3 linked regions of the Schizosaccharomyces pombe genome follow. The protein of the gene in region 2 interacts with the protein of the main gene of each other region in a biochemical or structural test. Each region holds a gene or a part of one and is shown on either strand. Other genes may lie near its edges.

Evidence for each region.
Region 1: the proteins of act1 (region 2) and myo52 form a complex in vitro, tested with the Schizosaccharomyces pombe proteins (one study listed by BioGRID).
Region 3: the proteins of act1 (region 2) and fim1 form a complex in vitro, tested with the Schizosaccharomyces pombe proteins (one study listed by BioGRID).

Annotation. Positions count from the first base shown.
Region 1 is NC_003421.2:2,224,382-2,233,409, reverse strand, and holds myo52 (myosin type V), read left to right. Parts: upstream 1-3,469; 5' UTR 3,470-3,678; coding exon 3,679-3,707; exon of another isoform or gene 3,708-3,766; coding exon 3,767-3,875; exon of another isoform or gene 3,876-3,884; intron 3,885-3,949; coding exon 3,950-8,362; 3' UTR 8,363-8,528; downstream 8,529-9,028. Other genes in the region: BAR adaptor protein Mug137, read right to left, coding at 29-467, 515-1,073, 1,112-1,216, 1,274-1,321, 1,365-1,440, 1,548-1,557, 1,624-1,649. UniProt on the Schizosaccharomyces pombe protein: Involved in cell wall deposition where it has a role in the localization of mok1.
Region 2 is NC_003423.3:1,474,985-1,479,058, reverse strand, and holds act1 (actin Act1), read left to right. Parts: upstream 1-1,725; 5' UTR 1,726-1,782; coding exon 1,783-2,910; 3' UTR 2,911-3,574; downstream 3,575-4,074. Other genes in the region: spore wall alpha-1,3-glucan synthase Mok12, read left to right, coding at 1-955. UniProt on the Schizosaccharomyces pombe protein: Actins are highly conserved proteins that are involved in various types of cell motility and are ubiquitously expressed in all eukaryotic cells.
Region 3 is NC_003423.3:3,105,742-3,112,060, reverse strand, and holds fim1 (fimbrin), read left to right. Parts: upstream 1-3,252; 5' UTR 3,253-3,319; coding exon 3,320-3,553; intron 3,554-3,629; coding exon 3,630-5,118; intron 5,119-5,172; coding exon 5,173-5,294; 3' UTR 5,295-5,819; downstream 5,820-6,319. Other genes in the region: arc3 (ARP2/3 actin-organizing complex subunit Arc21), read left to right, coding at 1-8, 89-364, 461-603; SPOM_SPBC1778.07 (carnosine N-methyltransferase), read right to left, coding at 862-1,481, 1,599-2,100. UniProt on the Schizosaccharomyces pombe protein: Binds to actin, and functionally associates with actin structures involved in the development and maintenance of cell polarity. Plays a role in cytokinesis. Plays important roles in mating and in spore formation.

The DNA.
Region 1 (9,028 bases), on a different chromosome or scaffold from region 2:
CAGAACATTACAGACTGTTCCTAAGAAATTATTTATTCGGAATTTCAGGTAATGGCTTTCTTATCTTAATTGGTTGGGAAGAAGCTTCAACATTCTGACTACTCAAGAGAGAGTTATCACTGTCAAGGAATTTGAGGTTTTGTATAGGAGATTGTTTGATAGGTGAACAATAATCCCTAGGATCATCACTTACAATTCGTCTGATTGAACGCGCCCTCTCGAGAGATCTCGTTTCATGTGATTTTTGAACATGGAGGTCATATATCCTAGTGCAATAGTTTACAGGAAACATTCCTGAATTCCCAAGTTTTTCTGCCTTACTATTTACCTTCTCGCCCATGTACCAATCCGGTCCAAGTTGTTCGCTCACCTGAATGACATCCCCTGTGTGCAAATCGAGCTCTTTTTCATTCCTTCCCGTAAATGAATAAATTGCTTTGACGAAAACTGTTTCCTTTTTCGATTTTCTATTGGTCAGCGTATTTAAAAAAATTTTTTTACTCTTTAAACTTACCTTTTCGGAGTAGAAAACGGTGTTGGTGATATTTTTTCAGTATTAGTGGTCTTAGTAAATAACTTACTAAGTGATGGATCCATGGGTGATGCAAGAAATTCATTTTCAACGCTTCTTTCGCTACTTTGGATCTTTTTCTGAGGCGTCAATGAGTTTTGAGAGTTGAATATTGTATTTAAAATACCAGTCGACTCTTTAAAGAAGTTTAGCTCATAAACAATTAGTTCTGTTAATTGTTGGTACTGATCAGCCTCAACGTCTTTTAATGCGATCATCCGATTCTTTACTTGCTCGGTGGATTCTTCGAACTTGTACAGCGCCAGGCGAATATCTTCTTCTAAACGCGAATCTTCCTTCTTTTCTTTAAAAGACTTTTGTAGGAGAGATTCGTATGCTTGTCTTCGGCTTTCCAATTTTTTTCTTGCAGAATGAAAATCCTTGGCTTGTACTAGATAACGTTTTAAAAAATCGAGATAACATACTCTCGCTTTGTATGCTAAAGACGTTTGATGTTCTCCAATCTTTAGATTGGCTTTTCCTAATTGCGACAAGGTGATCCCTATGAGTTAATAGAGGCAGAAGGCTTTTCTTACCTACCATAGCTTGAGTCTTGTGGTAACTCTTTTGAATGATTTATCATCACTTTCCCTAGATTTTCACAAGCAAGACATTTTTCTTTATCCTCACCATCGACCTTTTTTACTAATTATTTTGTTAACAGTAAAATAATTGTTTTGGCGTCAATGTATCTCTACTTACAAATTGAATCAATCCATATTGTCGTTGCTTGAAATAGTTTAGATAGTCCTACATTATGTTAAGAAACTTTGTCTGCAGCATATTTACTCACCTTCTTCTCGAATCGCTATTTCTTGCTCAAGTTCAAGAAAACTATCAGGCAAGTGTGCTCTTTGGTCTCCCAATGGCTAATAAGGTCAGTAATACAATTCCTTTCTTTTCGTTCGTTGTTTTGAGTATTTTGAACAAACACTACATCGGCTCAGTTTCACTCGCCATGGAAAGGTATACTCACTTTTTCGTTTCTAAAAAAAAGGGGTCAATAATCTTCATAATCTGCGTAACCTTTCTCCTTCTTAATATTTCCTTACGTCCAAGAAAAAAATCTAGACACCATTTTGATGGTTCATCGACCATACGCATGCGTTGTGCTCAAAAGTCTTTACAATTAAGCATAAACGATACTTATAGAAAAGATAATTTACTTCTTTGCTTACTAAATCACTTCAGCCGTGTGTGTTAAAGGATCAATATCTCTACCGAGAAGGTTCTTATATAAGCGATGTTTGTTTGTTTGTTTACCCAAAATTTTGGAAGCGGAGGGGATGCGTTTATTATGATGTTGAACGTAATGAAATACATATTTTTTTTTCTTAAGTGTGTTAAAAATAATTGATTTGAGGGAAGCTGTTGTTACGTCGAAGGTTTATCATTTTTTTGTTTGTAATTGAGACGTTCTAAAAGTATTGAGTAACTTGATTCCTTATAAATTTTATTAACTAAGTTACCTTATTTGGTTTTTCATAATTAGTTTGGCCTAAAAATATGTAAATGCATTTATAATTCTTCTTTTCTCTTTTGGGTTTATGCTGCAGACTATACATTTTCCAAAACATCTTCTCATCTCGAAGAAACATGTCTTTTATAGACTTTTTACTTTTGTAATTCTTTTTTAATCGAAATCATAGCCCAATTAATTAATATTTAGTATTGATGCTCCATTTTGAGAGTAATCATCTTCTGAGTTTCTTTGAAGAGAAAACAGAAACATATACTATCTAAATCGAATTTGTCTTTGAGTCAAAGCGTTAGATTATTAGTTGCTTTTTTTATGAAAATATCCCTGTTTCCAAACGGTTTTAGTAAATCATTCTCGTACAAGAATATATAACGAGAGCACGAAATTATCTATCAAAACGAAAGAATTATGATATATATAATATTCTGTTTTTTTTATCTGATGTTTTACTGTTAGAAATCCATTGTGTTGCTCAAACCGTTGATTTTGAATGGTATTATTTACATGTTTGTACCATCTTACCTCCTCTTTTACTAGTAATTCTAAGCCGCACTAGTTTGCCTTATTTAGCATACTGTTTTCTGATAAAAATCGTAGCTAGCTCGGTATTAGTTATTAATATCAGCAATGCAGTTCGATAATATGCCAGTAAAACTGCACTACGCTATCATACATTACGTCGAGTGTCACTATATGTCACATGTTCTACTTGTCATCGTACCATAGATGATACGATATTGAAATTGATCTTAATGATGTTCGATAAAGATTCTTGCTATTAGAATACTATAAAAGATAGCTACTACTGAACTGAGGAAAGAGGTTCAGCAATAAGCTACATTTGTGATAGATAACAATATACCCTTTATATTATAATACCTATACTTGATTGTTACTTTTATAACCTATGTATTACAATATTATAGGTCGCAAGGAAAGCTCACCGCATTACTACGTATCGTTAAAATAATTACAAAATTGCATAGTAAACAGACAACTGTTTTTAAATACGATGAAGTAGTTGAGTTTCTATTGCAATTTTTTATAATCTTATGTATGTTTACTACGATTGGTAATAAATATTCTTACGCTCAACTTAACATTATTTAATATTATAATAACTTATATACTTGATAATTGAAATAACAATTATAGTAATTCTGAAGCAAAAAACTAACTCACTAGCCGTATTGAAATGTGAAATGTTAATTGTACTTTTCAACAAAGCCAACCTTGAAAGTTAAAAACATAATAAATAGTGATAGTTAACATATCATAACATAGCGTGATTTCTTAATGGTAAAAGTTTGATTCTTATTTGAGGTTTTATGAACTTTAGTGAAACCACTATGCGCTTTTATCAAATTGCATAATTCGCTTTTCATATTACTTTGTCTCAGCGAAGTCATCTCCATATTAACATCAGCAGAGAACGAGTATTTTCCATAAGTAAAGAAGAAAGTTTTGAAATAACGTAAACGCGTTAGTAAACTTTTTTTCTATTAGTTTTAGCATTTGCATATTGTTTTGCGACATTTTTTGAGCAAACATCTATTTTTGTGTGTAAACAAAACGCTGTGTTTAGTTTAAATTAGGCGTTCGGGGAGTCTTGTAATTTCTACCGGTCATGACATCGGGGATTTATTACAAGGGACTGTAAGTTTATTAGAATCGTCTTTAAAGGATCCTGCTAATGTTGTTGTTGCGAAATGTAGTCAATGCTGGATTCCAGATGAGCAAAGCCAATGGATCCCTGGAAGCATAAAGGATTGTCGAGTTGAAGGTGAGAAAGCTTTCTTAACGGTACAAGATGAAAACGAAAACGTACGAAAATTATTATTTTCTTTGGTATCCCTTTTGGGTCAATTGAGATTAATTAGCTAATGTGATCTTGTTAGGAAACTGTTATTACAGTGAAGCCAGACGATTTAAATTATGAAGGAAGAAACGGCCTCCCGTTTCTTCGATCCATTAACTCGGATGCTGATGACCTTACTGATCTTTCATACCTAAATGAGCCGTCAGTGTTGGATGCTTTGTCAACAAGGTACAACCAACTTCAAATTTATACGTATTCTGGCATTGTCCTTATCGCAGTAAATCCTTTTCAGAGACTGCCAAATTTGTACACTCACGAAATAGTACGTGCTTATTCGGAGAAATCTCGGGATGAGCTAGATCCCCATCTCTATGCTATTGCTGAAGATAGCTACAAGTGCATGAATCAAGAGCATAAAAATCAAACTATTATTATATCTGGTGAGTCAGGAGCAGGAAAAACTGTTTCCGCAAGATACATAATGCGGTATTTTGCTTCTGTGCAAGCACTTATTCAATCCACCGATTCCAATTTTCATGAAGCTCCACAATTAACTGCTGTCGAGAATGAGATACTTGCTACAAATCCGATTATGGAGGCTTTTGGTAATTCTAAAACTTCTAGAAATGACAATTCTTCTCGCTTTGGTAAATATATTCAAATTTTGTTCGACGGAAATGCTACAATCATTGGTGCTAAAATTCAAACTTATCTTTTAGAAAGATCAAGATTAGTATTTCAGCCTAATCAAGAAAGAAATTATCATATTTTCTATCAGATTTTAGCTGGTTCATCCTCGGAACAACTTGAAAAGTGGAAACTTGTTGAGAATTCTCAAGAATTTAATTATTTAAAACAGGGAAATTGTTCTACAATTGAGGGCGTCAATGATAAAGAGGAATTTAAAGCTACAGTTGATGCATTAAAAACAGTTGGCATTGATAATGATACATGTGAATGCATATTTAGCTTATTAGCTGCATTGCTGCATATCGGTAACATAGAGGTTAAGCATTCAAGGAATGATGCATACATTGATTCAAAAAACGAAAATCTGATAAACGCTACTTCATTGTTGGGCGTGGATCCTTCTTCATTGGTGAAATGGTTAACGAAGCGTAAAATAAAGATGGCCTCTGAAGGTATTTTGAAACCATTGAACGAATTTCAAGCTGTAGTAGCTAGAGACTCAGTAGCGAAATTCCTTTACGCTTCACTCTTCGACTGGCTGGTAGCTACTATTAATAAAGCCTTGATGTACTCAGCTGATAAATCGAACCAGACGGCTAAAAGTTTTATTGGTGTTCTAGATATTTATGGGTTCGAGCACTTTAAAAAAAATTCATTTGAACAGTTTTGCATCAATTATGCGAACGAAAAACTTCAACAGGAATTTTATCGCCATGTTTTCAAACTGGAACAGGAGGAGTATGCTGCTGAGGGACTTAACTGGTCCTATATTGATTATCAAGACAATCAGCAATGTATTAGCATGATTGAGAGTCGTTTAGGGATTCTTTCCCTTTTAGACGAAGAATGCCGAATGCCCACGAACAGCGATGAAAATTGGGTTAGTAAGTTGAACGATGCATTCTCCAAGCCAGAATTCAAAAATAGTTATCAGAAATCAAGGTTTGGTAACAAGGAGTTTACAATTAAGCATTATGCTCTTGACGTTGTTTACTGTGCCGAAGGATTTATTGATAAAAACCGTGATACAATATCCGATGAGTTGTTGGAGCTTTTTACAAATTCAGACGTTCCCTTTGTCAAGGATCTGGTTTTATTCCGTCTTGAACAAACTGCACCCCCAGCCGATACCAAAAAAATAAAAACCAAGCCAAAAAGTAATACTCTTGGTTCAATGTTTAAAAGCTCTTTGGTTAGTCTAATGAGTACCATCAACGAAACTAATGCTCATTATATTCGTTGTATCAAGCCAAATGAAGAGAAAGAAGCCTGGAAATTTGATAACCAAATGGTGGTTTCTCAGTTACGAGCATGCGGTGTTTTAGAAACTATAAAAATATCTTGTGCTGGTTTTCCCTCCCGTTGGACTTTTGATGAGTTTGTTTCTCGTTATTACATGTTGGTTCCCTCTGCCGTAAGAACTACGGAGTCTTTGACCTTTAGCAAGGCAATTTTAGAGAAACATGCTGATCCGACTAAATATCAAATTGGCAAAACTAAAATATTTTTTCGTTCAGGTGTGACGCCCCTTTTAGAGAGTGCGAGAGACAAAGCTTTGAAACATGCAGCACATCTTTTGTATGAAGCGTTTGCTGTTAATTACTATAGGACTCGTTTTCTTCTGTCTCGGAAGAGAGTCAGGAGCTTTCAAGCCGTTGCTCATGGTTTCTTATCTCGTCGCCATACGGAGTACGAATTACTTTCTTCCAATATTATTAAACTTCAGTCACTTTGGAGAACTGCATTAAAGAGAAAAGAATTCATACAAACGAAAAATTCTATACTTAAAGTGCAAAGTATAATTAGAGGCTTTTTATTAAGACAGACTTTAGAGGAAAAGACAAAGCATGATGCAACATTAATTATTCAAAGTCTTTGGTTAACATTTAAAGCCCATAAGCACTACAAAGAACTACAATATTATGCAGTTCGTATCCAGTCTCTTTGGAGGATGAAACTTGCAAAGCGACAATTGACAGAATTAAAAATTGAATCCACTAAAGCGAGTCACCTTAAGCAAGTATCTTACAGGCTTGAAAGCAGATTGTTTGAGATTTCAAAACAGTTGGACAACTCGGAGCAGGAAAATAACAAGTTCAGGGAAAGAATCGCTGAATTGGAGTCTCATCTGTCCAACTATGCTGAAGCAAAGTTAGCACAAGAAAGAGAACTTGAGCAAACTAGGGTACTTATATCGGATCAATCTCAAGATGGGGAATTAAAGGAGTTACTTGAAGAGAAAGAAAACGCTTTGATTATGATGGAAGAGGAGATGAGGCAAGTCAACGATGCGAATACCGAACTTTTAAGAGTAAATGCAACTTTGAAGTCGCAGCTTAAAAATTACGATATGATTATTGTTGAGCAAACCTCTCAGTTGAAAGAGAAAAACAGGATAATTGCTAGTCTGACAAAAGCCACTAAAATACTGAATTCGGCCTCTAGTATCGAACAGTCGCGCAATTCGGAAGAGAAATCACGTCGTGATAGTTCATTGATGGAAATGCGTACTCAAAAAGAGATGCTTGTGCTATTAATGAACGATGGCTTGAAGCACGATCTTGACAAACTCACAGAATATGCAGGTAGAACATTTACAACTCTTAAAACTCTATTACTAAAGGACAACGATGTTGAGGCTCAGAAACTTGATCATTTGTTTTTAGCAAAACTACTTTTTATAATAATATCACAAATGTGGAAATCAAATCTGTGTCAGGAAAGTGTTGCCTTGGTTGAGCGTTACTGTGTCCACACTTTAGAATACGTATTTCAAAAGACATCATCTGCTAATGAGAGACCTGACATCGGATTTTGGGTTGCAAATACACATGCGCTCTTGGCTTTTGTTTATACTAAGCAGCAGGCGTTTAAACATTCCTCGGCTTTCACTCTTTTATCCACCGAATCTCATGAATCAGTGCAAACCATTTTTGAGATGATTGAATCACATCTGTCAAAAATCTTTTTCGAATGGGTTAGGCAAGTCAATAATTTTTTAAAGCCATTGATTGTTCAGGCAATGATTATTACTGGTACAAATACGGATGCTGGAGATGAGAATCGAAAACTACGGATTAAATTTTTTGAGAAACCAAAATACAAAATCACCGATGTAATACATGTACTAAATAAGGTGCATGATTCTTGTCAGGCCTATAAAGTTAATTATGAAATATATAATGCATTGATTAGAAGCATATATCGATTCATTAATGTGGAGGCATTCAATTCACTTTTTATTGATGAACGTGGATCTTGGAAACGTGGTACCAATATTTCATACAATTATCATGTTCTTAAGGATTGGTGTCTAGAAAGTGGTGTTCCGGAAGCTTATTTGCAGCTCGAAGAGCTTTTACAAACCTCCAAGATACTACAATTTGTGAAAGATGATCCAAATTATGTGGCCAGGGTCCGCGACTTTTATGCTCTTAATTTTCTGCAAATAAAAACACTCTTACATCGTTATGACTATGCTGACTACGAGGCTCATGTACCGAAAAAAACTATGTCTGAATTGTCCAAAAATATTGTTGCTGAAGGCATCAATCAAAGGGAACAACTTACTTACGAAGTGTTGGATTATAGACTACAAGATAGTTTTGAGGAATCTCCATCTCTTGAAAAAATAAAGATACCAGATGATTGTAATGTTACCTATTTGCGTCGTATCATCGACCTTGCTAGTGCAGAAGAAAGTGTTGAGCAAGCTTTGATCACTGTAGGCAACGTAGCCGACAATGATGTACAGAACTCGAGCGACGAAGAAAATCAAGTACCAAATGGTATTAAAGTTTAATATCTAGTTATTTTTCAAGGTGCTCTGCCTACTTATTTATTCCCTAATTAGGGGTTTTACTTTCAAAATTTGGAGCTGGGCCTTAGTTTCCGTGGAAGTTTTAATCAAAACATCCTGATAATGACAATCTTTTACGAGTTTTATTTACTGCTAAATATAAATATCTATGAGTATTGTAGTCTATTCTACTTCCCCACTTTGTATAGTTACTTGGTAACTTAATTTATTCTTAAATATTTATTTCGCTTGCGGAGTACGCATTGGTTTCAGTCAAAAAATACCTACATCGAAATACTTTCCATAACTAGTTTGTCACCAAAGACTGAAAAGAAAGTATATTTATTAGATCATTTTTAATATAAAGGCTGCAAACTACTTAATAAAACACGTAAATTGAAGTACGAAGTCTCATGCAGCGTTAGCAAGAAGCTCTACTCTATAAGCGAGAATAGCTTAACAAATCCGAATGTGTTAAGAACAGACAAAAAGCAAAGCAATAAAAGCATTTTCAAAATCTATTTGACATAATAAAAATAAACACGATTACGGAAGTCCCTTAAGTGTTATAATGGTCTATAAAAAACTTGTATTGTAAATTTCTACAATAGGAAGCTTGGGTACCACAATGGATAGGACTATTAAACCGAAAGGCATATCAAAAATTTT
Region 2 (4,074 bases):
CATTTCAAGTTCTACTGGATCGCTGTATTTTGCATGGAATTTTGGTGCCGAAGGAGGTATCGCAACTCATCATTGGATTTTGAGGGCCTGTCTTGTACATGGGATTCAACAGATTTGGTCTGCAATCCTCTGGTCATGGGGAGATCTATTATCGAAGAAAGATTTGACTCAAAATGTGGGGCCTGGCATTTTTGCAGGGGGACTTATCGCCTCTTTCATTTGCTTCGGGCTTTCCTACGTAACATTCGCAGGTTTACCTGCTTTTTATCGCCAAGCTCCTTCTATCATTCCAGCGTTTTATCGTTCATTAGGAAAACGAAATATTGTAATTTGGTTTTTTATCTCTCAAATTTTAATCAATTACTGGCTTGCTGTCCCTTATGGCCAGGCTTGGAGGTTTTTCTGGAATACTAGCAACACTCCTTTGTGGAGCATAATCATTCTTTTACTCATTTTCTTCATCGTGGTTTGGGCCGTTCTCTTATCAGTTATAAAGATTTTGTCTCTTAATAACGTTTGGTTTCCAGTGATATTTGGATTGGGCCTCATTTGTCCACGCTGGTGCTTAGAGTTTTGGTCATCCTCGGGTCTCGGAATTAATTTACCATGGGCTGGTAAGGCTTCTGCCTTGCTGACGAAGTCAGTATGGCTTTTGCTAGCTCTATGGGACGGGATACAGGGAGTCGGTGTCGGTGTAATGTTACTGCAAACCCTGGCGAGAGATCATGTTGCTTTCACGTTGATGCTAGCGCAAGTTATAAGTTGTATTACAATTATGATCGCAAAACCTTCTCTGCCTGTAAGTGATCGAGTATTCCCAAATCTTGGTGCATGGAATCCTAGCGAAGGACCGGGACCTTGTGCATCACCTTGCTTTTATATTGCACTAATATGTCAATTTGTAGCTGTTGGAGGATTGCTCTATCACTATCGTAAAAGTCAGCTTGCTCTTTAGTGTTTGATCTACGATAATGAGACGGTGTTTGGGTTGTTTTTACTGAATTTTTCTTTTATTTTATGACATCTTAATTTTTATGTTAATGATTATTCTTATACTTTTATCTATCTTTGATTAAAACTAATATTCATTCTTTTGATCACTAATTATTTTTATAGTATACGATTCAACCCAACTATAATACATTGTATCAAGAGAAATTTTTAATTAGATGTAATTTAATAGCCATTTGATAAAAAAAAATTACCTTTTTTTTTGCTAGTGTTAAATTATTGATCATAACAATGTCGAATGAATACTAATAAAATAGGGACACGCGAGTTGCAAATACTTGAAATACCTTTGAAGATTTGTCTGTGAATTTTGATAAGATTTTTATGACCATCTCTTTTATATTCGATATCGTGAACTTTCATTTTCTTTTGTTTTTTGCTTTTCAAGTTAAATAACGCGGAAATTATATTTCCTTATATGTTTATAAGAGCTTTTAAAGGATTTGCTATATCGCTTACAGTACTACAACCGGTTGCTCAATGTTATCCGTTTCCGCGGTCTTCTTCCGTGCGCATTCTGCCGTGAAGTGCTAACGCTGTGTGTGGCTTTATCAAAAAAGTGGCTCAAATATAGCAATTTCATACATATTTAAACACCCATTATACTTAAATGTATATTTTAAAATATATAAGAGATTTTCACTGTATAACTGTGTATCTTATCTATATGTAATCAACGGCTTCATACCACCTCAGCCAGCCGTGTTATAACTTACCGTTTACCAACTACATTTTTTGTAACGAACCAAAAAACCCTCAAAAGACAAGACCATGGAAGAAGAAATCGCAGCGTTGGTTATTGATAATGGCTCTGGTATGTGCAAAGCCGGTTTCGCTGGAGATGATGCCCCTAGAGCTGTATTCCCCTCGATTGTCGGTAGACCCCGTCACCATGGTATTATGGTAGGTATGGGACAAAAGGATTCCTACGTTGGTGATGAAGCTCAAAGCAAGCGTGGTATTTTGACCTTGAAGTACCCCATTGAGCACGGTATTGTCAACAACTGGGATGATATGGAAAAGATTTGGCATCACACTTTCTACAACGAGCTTCGTGTTGCTCCTGAGGAGCACCCTTGCTTGTTGACTGAGGCTCCTTTGAACCCCAAATCCAACCGTGAGAAGATGACTCAAATTATTTTCGAAACCTTTAATGCACCTGCCTTTTATGTTGCTATTCAAGCTGTTTTGTCTTTGTATGCCTCTGGTCGTACCACTGGTATCGTCTTGGACTCTGGTGATGGTGTTACCCACACTGTTCCCATTTATGAGGGTTATGCTCTTCCTCATGCTATCATGCGTCTTGATCTCGCCGGTCGTGACTTGACTGACTACCTTATGAAGATTCTCATGGAGCGTGGTTATACTTTCTCTACTACCGCCGAACGTGAAATTGTTCGTGACATCAAGGAGAAACTTTGCTACGTCGCTTTGGACTTTGAGCAAGAACTTCAAACTGCTGCTCAATCTTCCTCCCTTGAGAAATCTTATGAGCTTCCTGATGGTCAAGTTATCACTATCGGAAACGAGCGTTTCCGTGCCCCTGAAGCTCTTTTCCAACCCTCAGCTTTGGGTCTTGAAAACGCCGGTATTCATGAGGCTACTTACAACTCTATCATGAAATGTGATGTTGATATTCGTAAAGATTTGTACGGTAACGTTGTTATGTCTGGTGGTACCACTATGTATCCCGGTATTGCCGATCGTATGCAAAAGGAGATTCAAGCCCTTGCTCCTAGCTCCATGAAGGTCAAGATTGTTGCTCCTCCTGAGCGTAAATACTCTGTCTGGATTGGTGGATCCATTCTTGCTTCTCTTTCTACTTTCCAACAGATGTGGATCTCCAAGCAAGAGTATGATGAGAGCGGACCTGGTATCGTTTACCGTAAGTGCTTCTAAGCTCCTCTTACTTTTTGTAACGTTTTTTACATACTTTTGAATAACATCGATTCTTCTGATATATATAAATTTCAATCTTTTTTTACCTATTTAACCACCTTTTTCCGCTCTTAACATCTCATGAGGAACTTTGGGTATCAATTATTGGAGTGTTTTATATACTTTCTGATTACTATCGTTTTCTTGCTCTGTTTTCTTTTTTTCATTATAGACGAATGCAGAGCTAGCCTTTTACATATTGAAGTTACAGAAATATTTCCAGTAGATACCTATGATGTTACTTCATTCGCTTATAACTTCCCGTTTTCTTTAACATGTTTCTTCTCGAGTCCGGCCGATTATTTTTGTCGATATTTTCGTTATGTTTATCGCTGTGATTATCGATTAAAGAACTGTAGTAAATGAATTTTACTTACTCCCGTTAATTTTTACGAATTTTATTTTGTACAAGGTGGTAACTGCGAGATAGTTAGAAGCGGAAGTGGTGCAATGTACTTCATCAGCCATTTCTTTTCGTCCTGTAGAGTTGTATCATCTTCAGTACTGATTTAATTGGTACCTGAACTTGTATAACTTTGAAGCCAAATGGTTGAATGTGTTTTACATTAGTATTAGCAAAAGTTTATTAGGTCAAAAAAAGATTTAATACATACATGGTATATGATCATTGTTGGATAGTATAGTTGAGGTAAAATTCTTATAAATTGTAAGACATTGGTATGATTAGTGTTCTTCAAATATAAAAAGAGAGGAAGTAGTGAATTATGAAGCTGTAGGAGATGGAGCCCGATTAGCCAGTTGTATAGTTGAGCGATTAATATATAGTGACAAAGTAATTTGGACTGACGACGCCTCTCTGTATAAACAAATCCAATGATATTACATTCCTATGACTTTATTTAGAATTGTTTCGTCAACATATATTATTACAAGAGATTATTATTTTTTTTTGTAGTATTATGATAATATTAAAACCATTGTTCAAAGAATAAGAGAAAAATGTTAACCATATTAAATAAAATAAGTTGCTGCTGAAACATGGAAAGAAAAGATCCATCGAAATTTGCAGAACATGTATGAAAAAGGATGGCCAAGACCCGGTGCCTGAACTCGTGACAGAGTATAGACGCATTAAAACGAACGTTAAATGATGTTGATGAAAAA
Region 3 (6,319 bases), 1.6 Mb from region 2:
TTATCCTGGTATGTTCCAGATATTTGTCAACTCTGTTTAAAGACTATTCTTAATGTTATTAGAGTACTTTCTAACATTTTTTATACAGCTGATGAGAGTCAAATGGATATTATTGATGAATGCATTGGGCTGTTTCGCGCCAATTGTTTCTTCCGCAATTTTGAGATTAAGGGACCAGCAGACCGTACTTTAATTTATGGAACATTATTTATCAGTGAGTGCTTGGGAAGAGTTAATGGACTCAATTATCGTGATGCTGAACGTCAACTTAATAGTTTAGCGTTGGAGAATTTTTCTATTCCTGGCTCTGCTGGCTTTCCCTTGAATGCATTATATGCTCCTCCCCTTTCTCCTCAAGATGCTGGTAAGATTCACCCAAACTGTGGCATTAGACATATAGATGTTTGTGCCGCTAATAGCTTTCTTGCTTTTTTTTTCATTTGCTAACTATTAAAAAAAGAAATAATGCGTACATATCTTACTCAATTTCGTCAGGAACTTGCTTATCGTCTTTTGTCCCATGTATATGCAACTGAAAAGGATCATCCCAGCAAGTGGTGGACTTGCTTCAGCAAGAGACGTTTTATGAACAAAGCTTTGTGAGTCTATTAATTAATAATTTGGCTCATACTGTATTTCAAAGCCTTTATGTTTTTCCGTTTCCTTTATTTCAAATGCGGCTTATAAAGTTTTTGAAGCGTACGAATGGCTTATTTAATGTAGGCAGTTTTATACGTAGATAGTAGATGCAAAAATAATCGCTTTACTTTCATGTACAAGTTATCAATTAGCTTTGTTAATTATGCTAAAGGAATATTTGAATGATTAAAGTCGTAATATTCAATGTTGGTTCAAAAATTTTTATTGAAATCGTAATTTTGATTTTTGCAAACGGCAGACCCAATAATGAGGATGGTATATCCATTCAAGCATACTTCGTTTGTCCCCCATATAAGTCGTGTCGACCGAATTGTGCTTTAAAACCTCAAATCCCATACTATCCATCACGTAAAACAGCTGCTCGAGAGTCAATTCAACGAAAGGTTGTTGCTGGCTATCACTGTTAGAATTAGAAGTACCTTCTGACTCAAAATGATACAATAAAGGCCCGAGATTTATCCAATAACCTCCATCTACCAAACAGTTTTTAATTGTATCCAAATAGTCCAGTATGTTTTTTGTAGTGTCTATAAAGAAGCAGGTAGCTACTACTTGAAACGAATCACGACTTTCTTCGGTGCCGTATACCTCCAGGAAATCCCCGGCTGCCATTGAAAAGTTTTGTGAATTCCGCAGATATTGAGAGGGAACTGCATCAGGAATATTTAATGAACGCACCTGGTCATCACGCATGACATGGTTCGAAAATGAATGAATATAAGGATACACAAGAAACTGATTTTCCTGCTTTACGCAATTCAGTATGAAATGCGACGTTAAAAGCATAAAATATGAGAACTCATTTCCTTGGCATGCAAAGCCTATTAAATGTTAGAAGCTATGTCCAAAAATCCAAATTTAGAAAGAAGTTAGAAAACATGTAATCAGATAAATAATAAATCATGCTATTTTTGATTGATAGTATCAAGTGTACCTACCTTCCACAGCTATATCAAAGGCCAATCTTCCTAAGCCGGAACCTGGAACAAGTACACGAATTTTAGATCTGTCTATAGAATCAGATGGGAAAAGTGAATTTAGTTCCTCGATGAAAGGAGCATATGTAGTACGGCGTTCCTCAACACATTCGGTCGACCAATCTCTCGCAATTTGCTTGAGAGTGCTTGAAACTTTTTGCATCATATCAACATTGACATGAAATAACTCATTTTGATCGAAATCACTGCAGAACACAGGAATGGCTGCGTTAGCGATTGCTTCAGCAAGCACGCTGTTCTGCTCGATACATTGATCAATCCTTGAAAGATGCTTTAAAAAATTGTTGTCAGAGTCCTGTAAGAGTAAGTCCTTGTGTTCAAAAGACAACCTGCTCATCGATTTTCTCTTCTGTTGTGTTATTGTATGAGCATATTGCCTGTACAAAAAGAACGCGCTTAAAACTTCTTTCAAAACTTTTACTTCTTCCTCATCATATTCCATAGTTTTTTTTGATGTTTCTGAGCTCTATCTAGACTTTAATATTTTTATCATCTAAGTCGCAATTTTGGCGTTGTGGAGAAGTTAAACCTCTAACTTGTTGCTTCATTGAAGTTGGAAGTGTTGAAGAAACCAATAAGTTAAGAATATTATGGTTAATATAATTATGTTTTATGTATTTCATTAGCTTTTCAAGTTATGTTTATATCTACTGTGTTTGATTGCAATATTGAATCATCTCTGCTGAAAATCCCTGCAACGCGGTGCCTCTATGAAAATAGTGTTTGCCTTTTGCAAAAATCCCATAGGTTTTATTTGGATAGTTGTCAGACAATATTTTACAACAGCAGCCGCAAAGGAAATTCACCATGCTTCAACAATACCGGAACAGCTAATCTTCTGAAGCATCGTTATAGTAGTATTGTGAGTTTTGTAGATTATAAGAAAATAATATAAGAGAATCTTGGTGCACGCAGTAATATCATACAATATTTATATTGCAGCTTATAAACGAGACTGGAAATACACGTGAAAAGGTAGTCAGGTTAAAAGTTTAACCCTGTGACATCTGGCTAATCTTTTATCCTATTGCGCAGTTAAAAGCGGGAATTACTTCTTTTTCTTATATTGTATCAAAAATTGTTGGCTTCAGTGACCTAAACCCTTGAACAAAAGAAAAAAAACACGAATTTTCACGGCCGGAAAAACTTTCTGCAACGTTTTACAAAGGATCTACTATCATAGTAAGTAGAAATTTTGGCTTCTTGACATATAGTACTAAGTAATTTTCAAGTCGATGCATCAGTTGACTTCAATTGAAAGAGCTTGCTAGTTTGTGATGTTTATGGCATTTGAATTCGGTAATATCGCTAATTTGATATGGACTTACGTTTAGCTTTTTATTCTGTAAAAAAAATTAAAATTCAATGTAGTTGATATCCCAGCTATATATTCAATCTAAAGCTACAACGCAAGACATCGTCAAGTAGTAAATTACTTTTTACAATTGCAAATTAACTTTTAACAGATTGGCTAAGCAAACGTGTATTAACTCATTTAGCGAGCGGATCAAAGTTTTGCTCTACGCTTCTGTAAGTATGATGTATGTGCATCAACAACACGACGTTAATCCTTGTCACGTAGCAACTGCAAGCCACCCAAAGCACACATCGTGTGGTTTCGTTTACTATACATTTTTTGGTCAAATTTTACTTTTAAAGAAATGTTAGCTCTTAAACTTCAAAAGAAGTATCCGGAGCTCACTAATGAGGAAATTCTAACCTTAACCGACCAATTTAACAAACTTGATGTGGATGGAAAGGGATATTTAGATCAACCTACCACTATTAAAGCCTTTGAAGATTCAAAGAAGGGTTCTTACGATGAGGTCCGTGAAGCAATTCGTGAAGTTAACGTTGATTCGTCTGGACGTGTTGAACCCGAAGACTTTGTAGGAGTAAGTAATGTTTTCCGTAATTTTCACGATATGTGTCTCTATATCGCTTCATCAATTGGATTACTAATGCATATAGATTTTCAATGTTTTAAAAAAAGGTGTAGAAGGTACTGAAGTAAAAAAGGGTCGGATTACTATCAAAGGATCTTCCTCAAGTGTTTCTCATACCATTAATGAGGAAGAGCGAAGAGAATTTATCAAGCATATTAATTCCGTCTTAGCTGGAGACCCTGATGTTGGTTCCCGAGTCCCCATCAACACTGAAACCTTTGAGTTTTTCGATCAATGCAAAGATGGTTTAATCCTCTCAAAGTTAATTAATGACAGCGTTCCCGACACCATTGATGAGCGTGTACTCAATAAACAGAGAAATAACAAGCCTCTTGATAATTTCAAATGTATTGAAAATAACAATGTTGTTATTAACTCCGCAAAAGCTATGGGTGGTATCTCCATTACCAACATTGGTGCCGGCGATATTTTAGAAGGTCGTGAACATTTGATTCTTGGTCTTGTTTGGCAAATCATTCGCCGCGGTCTCCTTGGAAAGATTGATATTACTTTACATCCCGAGCTTTACCGCCTTCTCGAAGAGGATGAAACCCTTGACCAATTTCTCCGTCTCCCTCCTGAGAAAATTCTTCTCCGCTGGTTCAATTATCACTTAAAGGCTGCCAATTGGCCGCGTACTGTCTCTAACTTCTCAAAAGATGTTTCAGATGGCGAGAATTATACTGTGCTGCTCAACCAATTAGCTCCCGAACTCTGTTCACGTGCTCCTCTTCAAACTACAGATGTTTTGCAGCGTGCTGAACAGGTTTTACAGAATGCTGAAAAATTGGATTGCCGCAAATATCTTACACCTACCGCTATGGTTGCAGGGAACCCTAAGCTTAACCTTGCCTTTGTTGCTCATCTCTTTAATACTCATCCAGGTTTGGAGCCTTTAAATGAAGAGGAAAAGCCGGAGATTGAACCATTTGATGCAGAAGGTGAGCGTGAGGCACGTGTTTTTACCTTGTGGTTGAACTCTCTTGATGTTACTCCATCCATTCATGACTTCTTCAATAATTTACGAGATGGCTTGATTTTGTTGCAAGCTTACGATAAAATCACACCTAATACCGTTAACTGGAAAAAGGTGAACAAGGCACCTGCATCTGGAGATGAAATGATGCGTTTCAAAGCTGTTGAAAACTGTAATTATGCAGTGGACCTTGGAAAAAATCAAGGTTTTTCTTTGGTAGGAATACAAGGTGCTGATATTACTGACGGTTCTCGTACACTCACCTTAGCATTGGTTTGGCAAATGATGCGTATGAACATTACCAAAACTCTACATAGTCTTAGCCGTGGAGGTAAAACTCTTTCAGATAGTGACATGGTTGCGTGGGCCAATTCTATGGCTGCTAAAGGTGGTAAAGGTTCTCAAATTCGTTCATTCCGTGATCCTTCTATTTCCACTGGTGTGTTCGTCTTAGACGTACTTCATGGAATTAAGAGCGAATATGTTGATTACAATCTTGTTACCGATGGTTCTACTGAAGAACTTGCTATTCAAAATGGTATGTATATATATTTGATATATTTTTAATTTTCATTACTAACACATCGTTTAGCTCGTCTTGCTATTTCTATCGCCAGAAAGTTGGGTGCCGTAATCTTTATTTTGCCAGAAGATATTGTGGCCGTTCGTCCTCGGTTGGTCCTTCATTTTATTGGCAGTTTAATGGCCGTATAATTTGTTTCGACTTAACTATAGCTTTTAACGAAACGATTTAACACATGTGTTTTTCCCAATTTAATTACTTATATTGCGAACAACTTCGGAAGTGAGTACGTCGCTTTTGACTCGCTATGTTATTAGTGGTATGTCATATTATAGATAACTTTGTGTTGTTTTATGATACATCTTAACCCGTTTTTGTCCCTTTAGTATTGGGTAATCCTTATCCTAATTAATGTTTGAGGAATTCTGAAGCTGCACGACGAAACGTAGTCATTTTTTCTCAAACTGTAGAAAATAGTTAGCTTTTTAATTTCATAATGAAGGGAAGATCATTTGTATATGTAACTAATGGTAAGTCTCTGTAGGCCCAAATAGTACGGACTGCATATGCAAATCAGCTTTCTAAATAAAGCATTCGTTGGGAGAACGTTGGTCTACCAAGCCCTAATTTTCAAACACAATAAAAAGAAATAAAAATGTATATATGTCGATTAACATTTTTTACTTTAATAAAATATTCGGAATCTTATAACAATATTATTTATTATCAGATTACTTAACATAATACACATTACGTCCACCGTATATTGTCCAACTATGTCAGCAATACTACACTACGCTATGCTACACTACGTTGCGTATCACTATATGTCATATGTTGGAATACTAGCTAAGATCCGTTTATTGATAATCACGGGTAACTATCCTTCTATATACATAGATACCCGTTGATAACAACTATTTAGAAATATTATAAATAGCGTTACAACTGAACCTCGTTCCTCAGTTCAGTTATGAGCTATATTAGTGATAGGTAACATTATAACCCAGTTAATACAATACCTATACTCAGTTGCTACTTATACAACCTGTGTATTGTAATATAATAGACCACAAGGAAAACTCACCGCAGTTCTACGTATCCTTAAATCAGATACCAAACTGCGTAGCTTACAAACTACTTATAACCACCATTCAAAACAGGTTAAATCGTTATTGCCGATTGGACTTTAAAATACATATTGCTACCTTTACTG